2 linked regions of the Oryzias latipes genome follow. Each later gene encodes a partner of the first gene's protein in a complex. Links are inferred from orthologs where the notes say so. Each region holds a gene or a part of one and is shown on either strand. Other genes may lie near its edges.

The links. Proteins that work in one complex are often made in the same cells at the same time.
Region 2: rgs9 (region 1) and regulator of G-protein signaling 9-binding protein-like share a complex: the UniProt entries of both Homo sapiens proteins name them as parts of the RGS9-1-Gbeta5 complex. The link is inferred for Oryzias latipes from reciprocal best matches to the Homo sapiens genes RGS9 and RGS9BP.

What each region holds. Positions count from the first base shown.
Region 1 is NC_019877.2:13,914,685-13,918,334, reverse strand, and holds part of rgs9 (regulator of G-protein signaling 9), read right to left. Parts: intron 2,005-3,650; coding exon 1,942-2,004; exon of another isoform or gene 1,935-1,941; intron 1,699-1,934; coding exon 1,669-1,698; intron 1,572-1,668; coding exon 1,510-1,571; intron 1-1,509. UniProt on the Homo sapiens protein: Inhibits signal transduction by increasing the GTPase activity of G protein alpha subunits thereby driving them into their inactive GDP-bound form. Binds to GNAT1. Involved in phototransduction; key element in the recovery phase of visual transduction.
Region 2 is NC_019861.2:25,736,256-25,740,497, reverse strand, and holds regulator of G-protein signaling 9-binding protein-like, read right to left. Parts: upstream 2,806-4,242; 5' UTR 2,150-2,805; coding exon 1,409-2,149; 3' UTR 327-1,408; downstream 1-326. UniProt on the Homo sapiens protein: Regulator of G protein-coupled receptor (GPCR) signaling in phototransduction. Participates in the recovery phase of visual transduction via its interaction with RGS9-1 isoform.

The sequences.
Region 1 (3,650 bases):
CATAATGGGAAGAAGCAATCTTATATAGTGTCACCTCTACATTATATAGACCCCTAATAGATAGTTAAACTATCAACCTAATATAATTTCAAAGCAGGTAAAGGCAAAATTTACAGAACATTACAATTTATTTTGTATAAAATAACCTCATCAGAAACACAACAACTAAAATTTACATCATTGACTTTGCGTGGGTCTTTGTCAGGAACTTAAAAAATAAAACTTGATTTGAAGTATTTGTTTCCTCTCTGTAATCTCTGTACAGTGGATTAACAAATACATTTGTAGTCATTTTGACAACCTGCATTTTAAAAAGAAAAACTAAAATTTGACAAAAAATATGTTAGTGTTTCAAATGCATGCATGACGTTGGCAATAAAATTCTTGTATTTACTCAGAATGCTTAAAATGTGGTCCATTCTTACATTCATACATTCTTAAGAAGTAGTTACCACATACTTTTCATATTATGGTAATCTGCTTCATCTCATTAAATGGGGTGTATGTGCCTTTGCACACCAGGTTATGAAAGAAAAACACAAAGCCTTTGCTGTTTTGAGACAAATCTTCAATGCTGCAATTAGAGTTAGCAAATTCTAGACCAGGGTTCACCAACCTTTTTGAGACCGAGGGCTATTTCATGGGCACCAAGTGGTATGAAGGGCGCCACTAAAAACCTCCTAGCCCCCCCCCCCCCCCCCCCCAAAAAAAAAAAACAACACAATTTGAGGACTTCCTTTTGAGTGCCCTATTTTTATTTGCTCATTTTACACACAAAAACATGCATGAATTTTCTAGACTCGTAATACAGGGGGGGGGGGGGGGGGGGGGGGGGGTCAAACTCAGTTGCAGAGGGAGCCTAATTTCAAAACAGACTTTAGGTTGCAGCCGAACAAGATAAATATTTATTGAACACACTAAAGCTAAACTTTTAAACCTTTAAAACTTTAACTTAATTTTAACTTTTTAAACATAAATGTAAATAAAAACAGACAGGAATATTAATCCTCACATTAATGGATTACTCAACCACCTCAACCTATTCTCAAAATCTTTACATTACATGAATCATAAGAATGTCCAGAAATTGTGTAATTTATTTGATCTATTTAAACTTTTGTAATAGACCCTTACTTTTAGTGATTATTTTTTAAGTTATATTTGTTTACATATTTGGGTTTTCTTTGTCTACCTTTATCTCAGAATTGATATTGTTGTCATTGACAGACATGCCGTGGTTGTTTGTTGAATATTTTCTTCAATAAAAAAAAAAAAAGATTTTTTTGGGTGCATTCCCTGCGGGCGCCACAAGGGTTGCTCACGGGCGCACTGGCGCCTGCGGGCACAGGGTTGGTGACCCCTGTTCTAGACCAATCACAGTTTTACGGCATTTATAAACAATGAATAGTCATATATGTATGGAAAATTAAAGTGAAAACAGTTAAGCTTCCATAGATAGCCTTTTACCGTGGAATATTTAAAAAAAAGGTAAATAATGGACTTTCTTACGCGCCAATGGACACAGATGACTTCACTCTGGGCCTCATGATTGACTGTTGGGTAAAGATCATCTGCACAAAGCATAAACAGAGAAAAACAGCTTCTAAAAGGATTCAATGACAAGTTGACTTTAAAAAAAAATCAAACAAAACTCTAAAACTGACTTACAATTCTCTCATAGTGGTCAGGGGTTTTTGTCTGAAGGGAGAAAATATATACATTAGTTAAATTTTTATATTTCAGTTTTCAGGTTAGAATTTTCAGAAAACATTTAGTTGTAGAATAAACTCTAAAGAGGATACGCCTGCAAGAGAGGAGAAAAGACAAAAGAAAAAAAGACACTTTAGAAGTACTGCATTCATCCTTTGAAGCTTCTTAATGAACATAAGCCGATTGACAGGAATTATGTTCATACAGGTCATGCAGATACTCACCCATTACCTCCTCTGCATTGGGATCTGCTTGTCGCTCCAGCCCATAGTCCATGGCGCTCACCGTCCCCGGCTACAGTCCCACACAAAACGACAATTAGGCAATGTGTGTTTTCCAGAGCACTAATTACCCCAATGCCCTTTGATGCTGTACATCGTGTGTCAGTTTTTTCAGCCGCGCACACAAGGAGATTAGTCACCCGAGCTGAATGGGACTCACACCTTTCAGGTAATTAGACTGTTTAAGGCAGACACTTTGACACAAAGATGACAAATTAAGAGACTACTGGAGCGTGCATATTTTAGGTGAGCAGATCTGTTTTGTCAGGTAAAATATTTGAATGCTTTCTTAACTTCTGTGTGTGGAAGTGTAATTCATTCTGACCTCTCAGGGGGGTGAAAACATCTTCATTAAAATGCCTGTGGCTACAACTTAATATGAACATGTTATCTGCTTAATATCTTGGTCTCTGTCTGTCCATCCTTTACCCTGTGAAACATATTTATACGTTCTTTTTAGAATACAAGCTGTACGTTTTTTTCCATGCTGTTTCTACAAAGTTCAATGAATATTGTTTAAATAGCTGGAGCCAGTGCAGGCCACTAATTAACCAACAGGGGGCTGGTAACTGATTACCAGTAAGCCAATCCATATCTATATTAGCAATAAATGGTAAAACTTTACAACAGACTGCCACATTTTGATTTTTTTATGACTAAAGTCATGTTTTGATTTCAGATTGTGCACCAGTGAACAACCAACTCTACAAAACCCTTTTGGGTTTGTCGTGACAATTGTTGTACATTTTTGTTCTGTGTTTTTGCACATTTTTAATGGTAAGGAAAGGATGATCCTGCCTTCACCAATAAATAGATCAAGAGACCTAAAAGAAACTGCGATCAATGCAATATTAATTGGTCATAAAATTGAAAAAAAACATTTTTTTTCCTCTGTGGCTAATGTTAAAACTATTAAAAGTCTGACTGTGATACATTTCAATATAGGTGCTGTCTTTTTTCTTTTTAATAAAAAAAAAGTAAAAAGAAAAAAAAAATGGGTGTTTGATTCATTGATAACAGAAGCTCTATAAAACATTTATGGTTGTCCTTCAACAAGCCTGTTTATAGAAAAATTCCCCTTTTTTTAATAGTGTCATATCCTGCCGAGATGACAACAAGCACAGAGCTGAAGAACTCGCAATGAGTCACTCCACCATAAACCAGTGGGTCACATGACCACAACCGCCACTAACCTATAAACAATCAGATGACCTTTTCTGTGGGGGCTTTTTTAGAACAGAATGTTTCTATCAGAGAATGAACAATTACACTTTATTCCCCTCTCATTCAAAGCTTTGGGTTGTCTTTCGACGGTTTCTAGAGTCAAAATCAAATATGGAGAACTCCTTCTTGCGATTTCAATCTACCGCGTCCTAACTCCTCCAGCGCCATCGGGAGGCTACTAGAGAAAAATGTTGGATTTACAAGTTGTACATTTTAAACGGCAATAGTAATGACAAGCTTGCAAATATGGTGTTTGCTCTCTTTTTTTTTGTGTGTGAAAAAATGTGAAAATGTAATATATATATATCATAAATGTGTGTGTGGTTAACAAAAAAACACAGTTGCCAAAGAAAATCCGACAGTTTACTTTTGCCGATTCATATAAAAATTACATTGATTTGTTCGTCACCCCCAAGTGACCAAAACATAAACGTG
Region 2 (4,242 bases), on another chromosome or scaffold:
AGATATGGAATTGGAAACTTTCTAAAGTTCACGTTTTCACTGTTCTGCAATCTTCTGAAACCACTCGTGTTCTTCAGCCAACCTCACCTTTGCACCACTCCCCAAATATCTTCAAATACTCTTAGAACTAAAACTATCAAGGAGTTTAAACCTGCATGTCATTCTCATTTAACACTCTGCTAACACTAAGGTTGTTAGGTCTGGGAGTAAAGCCAAACCTGAAATACCTTTAAGTACATTATCTTGGCAGTGTTTACAAACTCTTTAAACGTGTTTTGGTGGTAGAATTGTGTCAAATGAAGTATTAACATACAAAAGAATCCTGATTTTAGGTGTGTTTCAAAATTTTATTATATTAAATATACTTATGTACATTATCTGATGCTGCAGTACAGACCGTATGTACAAACCATCTACTAACATTTTGCAAAAGGTTTACATTCAACACTGCTTACAAGAAAACCCTGAAAAGGAACAGGCTTACAGTGAACAGGTGCATTAAAAGACAAATCTTATTGTAGGTCCCAAGGCTCGTTGAGATTTTAGTGCAGTGAAGCTAGATGCATGCCCACTGTAACCTTAACCCTTGTGCTATCCTATGACCCCACCCTTACATTGACGTGTCATTCCTACCATGCCAAAGGTGGATAAAGGTGGAAAGATTTCATGTAATCCATGGACACCAGTGAGGTTCACAAATCATTGAAGAAAAAAGGTTCAGAGCACTGTCTAGTGGGTCTAGATGACCCAACTCCCAATGTTAAAGTGCCTAGGATAGCACAAGGGTTACGGAAGAGGAGGTGAGGTGGATGTTGAAGAGTGCAGATTTGATCTTAGCCGGTCTGTGATAGCAGAAGCCAGGATTAACTGTTCTTTCTCTGCTGTATTGGGTTTTAACAGGCTTATATAGCATAGAACTAATGCTCAGACCAGATGGTACTTTTGCTTGTTTGAAGACATTTGACTTTCCTGAACCGAAGTGAGAAAAGTAAAACATCAATCTGCCAGACAGAAATGGGAATACTTATCCACAGGCTACATTTATCTCCAATAATCCACTTGGATTAGGTGTTGTTTGTGTCATTCTGGTGGCCAGACGCTGTCACGTAATTTGTGACTCCTTTTTCTAAAAATAAATTACCATTTTCACCCACTCTCTCATTCACAAAGCACACACAGACTACAATTATCTACATCTGATCAAGTGCAGCCCCTCTCCTCCACGAATTACATTCAAGAATTTAAGAGAAGTCAACAATGTATTCATATTGGATCCCCTTGAAGCCCTGTTTGCCTCCTGGGCAGGTGACAGCTCTTCCCTGTGGAGGCGCTCCACGCGCGGGGTGTCCATCCGCGTGGGCTATAATATATATAATTTTTTTATTTTGGTTTGTTAGTTTCAGAATATTCAGGACATGTTGATCACCAAATATCCTAAAACCAAAGCAACAGTAACGATCAAAAGGAATCCGATGACAGCGCCGACCGAGCCAAATCCACCGCCTCTACTGCCTTCACCTTCATCATCTTTGGGCTCCTCTTCGCAGATGGAGATAACGCCCACGGAGGAATTCCCTACACTCAGGTTGGATTTGAGTTCGGCCCCGGCTTCCTGCTTCGCCACGACGGCCCACGGCGCCACTTGGACCTTCATCTCCATTTCCTCCATCATCTGGCTCACCTGGGTGATCTCGCTCTGCAGGTCTTTCAGGTCCGCCGTGTCGATGTTGCTGTCCGCCTCGTACTTCATATTCTGCACGCTCATGGCGCGCGCCGCCACGGTGCTGGTGCTGCCGGTCATCCCCGTCTGGATCAGGTGTCTGGTGGGCACCTTAAGGGGGAAGTCCTGCCCGATTTCCAGGGACCTTTTCATGTCCACCTCCAGGAGCTCCATGCTGCTGGAGAACAGCACCCACAGGCGCTCGTACTCGGCGCGGTCTTCCTTGCTGATGGACTTGTCTTTGAGCAGGGTGGTCAGTTTAGTCCTGTTGGCGACTGCCAACTCTTGCGCCTTTTTGCGGGTCCTCTTCAGCTCCTCGCGCAAATTTTGGGAGTCTGATGTGCTTCCAAGCGCGATGACCAAGTGTCTGTAGCAGGCTGTGACTTTGTTCAAAGCATCTAGCATTGTTTTGCACTCTTCTTTCCCCATTGTTAGTTATAAAATAGCTGTATCCTGATTAGAAATTTTCAACAAAAAAAGAGCTTGAGGAAAAATGGCGAACTGTTGGTGGTGCTTGGAGCCACTGTGCACATGCGGGTTAGATTCCCCGGGAGCTCACCGCCCGCTCTGCAAATCCACTCAAGGCACTACTCAGAGCAAATTCCTCTCTATCCATCATGCTCTCTCCCGTAAATAGGCACAAAGGGAGGCTTAGAAATCTAAGCTTATGTCTTCTAGTCGGATTGATGATACCTTTACGCTTCCCCGACGCGGGATCAGACGGCGCCAGAGCTCCTCTCCTGCTGGACCACGGCGAACTGATGTGAAACAATTCCGCCCCCCGCGCTTCAACAAGACCCGGTGATTAAGCTCTACAGGTGCCCCGATATCCGCCCCTGCAGGAGAGCACGATGCCTTCACCGCCTCCCCGACTCAGCCACTCAAAGGAGTCAAAATCGTGGAGCAAAAATGGGGCTCTCCATTTACTGCTGTGAAGCATCCGGTGGCACAAGCTGAACGAGCCATTGCGCGTTCATCTGTTTATCTGCGTGGGGAGCTGTCCACTTCAGCACCCAATCGACGGTGTTTAAATAGCTGTGTGCGCCTTCAGCGGTCACATGCGGGCATAAAACGGAGCCTTTCAGAGGCAGGCAGGCAAACAAAAGGATTCACTCCCATTGGTTTGATCACTTTGGCGCCCGCCTACAATGCCTCCTGTCATTGGCTGCTCGGATCTCATATCACAGAGCCTCAATGGATCTGCCACTAACACTTACCACTCATGTTTTCATGATTTTAAGTTTCGCAAAGAAAAACACAAATAAAGTTTATGTAGGTGCATGATAAATGAGGTTTAAAATTATTTTAGCCACCCTTTCAACTAATTCAATTAAGAGAGATAAGACTGAGTGCTGTCACAATACATGCCCGTACATCCATGGAGACCACAAAAGGTGCCAATTGTTGCACACATGCTGGCTACATAATGTGCTGTTAGGTTTTTTCTCCTGCTGTGCTGAGAGGGTGAGTCAAGTAAGGCCACGAGGGGTTTGCCCGCTTTGCTCTTTTTGCATTATTGAAGCAGATGGGGTCTAATGATCCAGTAAATACAGTAGGGAGCTAATGGACTAAAGCACATGGGGATGCCAAAGGAAGCAATAAGAATGGCTCAATGTTTGTGTAACATAATCATTTCTGGATTTTCATGATCAATCCTGCAAAAAATAAAAAACTTCCCCTGGTTTCAGTCCCCATTCAAGCTTTATTTAAATTATTTAAAAATGCGTTATGTGATTTGATCTCATTAAATAATCTGCAGTGCATTGGCAAAATCTGCCATATTTGACTAATAAGAAATATCTTTCACTGAGTCATATGCCCTAAACAAATGGACTCTTTCTTTAGATGAAAATGTCACCATGGTAGTAACCGTTGGTGTTTTACCAGGTATTTCTTGGTTGTTATTCTTGAAGGTATTATTCCTGTTTTTTGTGGATCTGTATACTGGAGTTACTTTTAGCTGTTAAAATAGACGGTAATTAACTATTTGAATAGCTGGACTATGACTAGGCAGTGATGCTTGAGCCAGATTCTGGTTTTGAAACTTTGAGTGATTAAATTAAATCAATCATCACATTTTTTTTTGGGGGGGGGGGGGGGGGGGGGGGGGGGGCTGGAATGTCTAAGCCAACTGAAAAGTTTAATCTACATGCACATGAGTTATTTTAATCTTTATGAAGAAGACCTTGTCACAGTTCCTGTGTAAAAGAACTTGGCGCTTGGCCTATAAACAGGTCCAAACTGGGGAATTTGGGGCCATTTTATTCTGGCTTCATTGCCTTTTCAGAGAACTGCTACCAGAATGAAATCGGTACTGTTTGTCTCTGTTGATGAGATTGCTGACAACCTGGTCTGTAGGGTTCAAGTGCTGAGAATGAGTCAAGCCTTGGTTTGATTCCTCTCAGTGTGAACGCATCGAGACAATCAATTCCTGATTTCCTGCAGAACCAGTCTGTCATGGAGCCATGCAGAGATATAAAGCAATGTAACACTACTTCTTCAAATTAAATGCAAGAATCTTT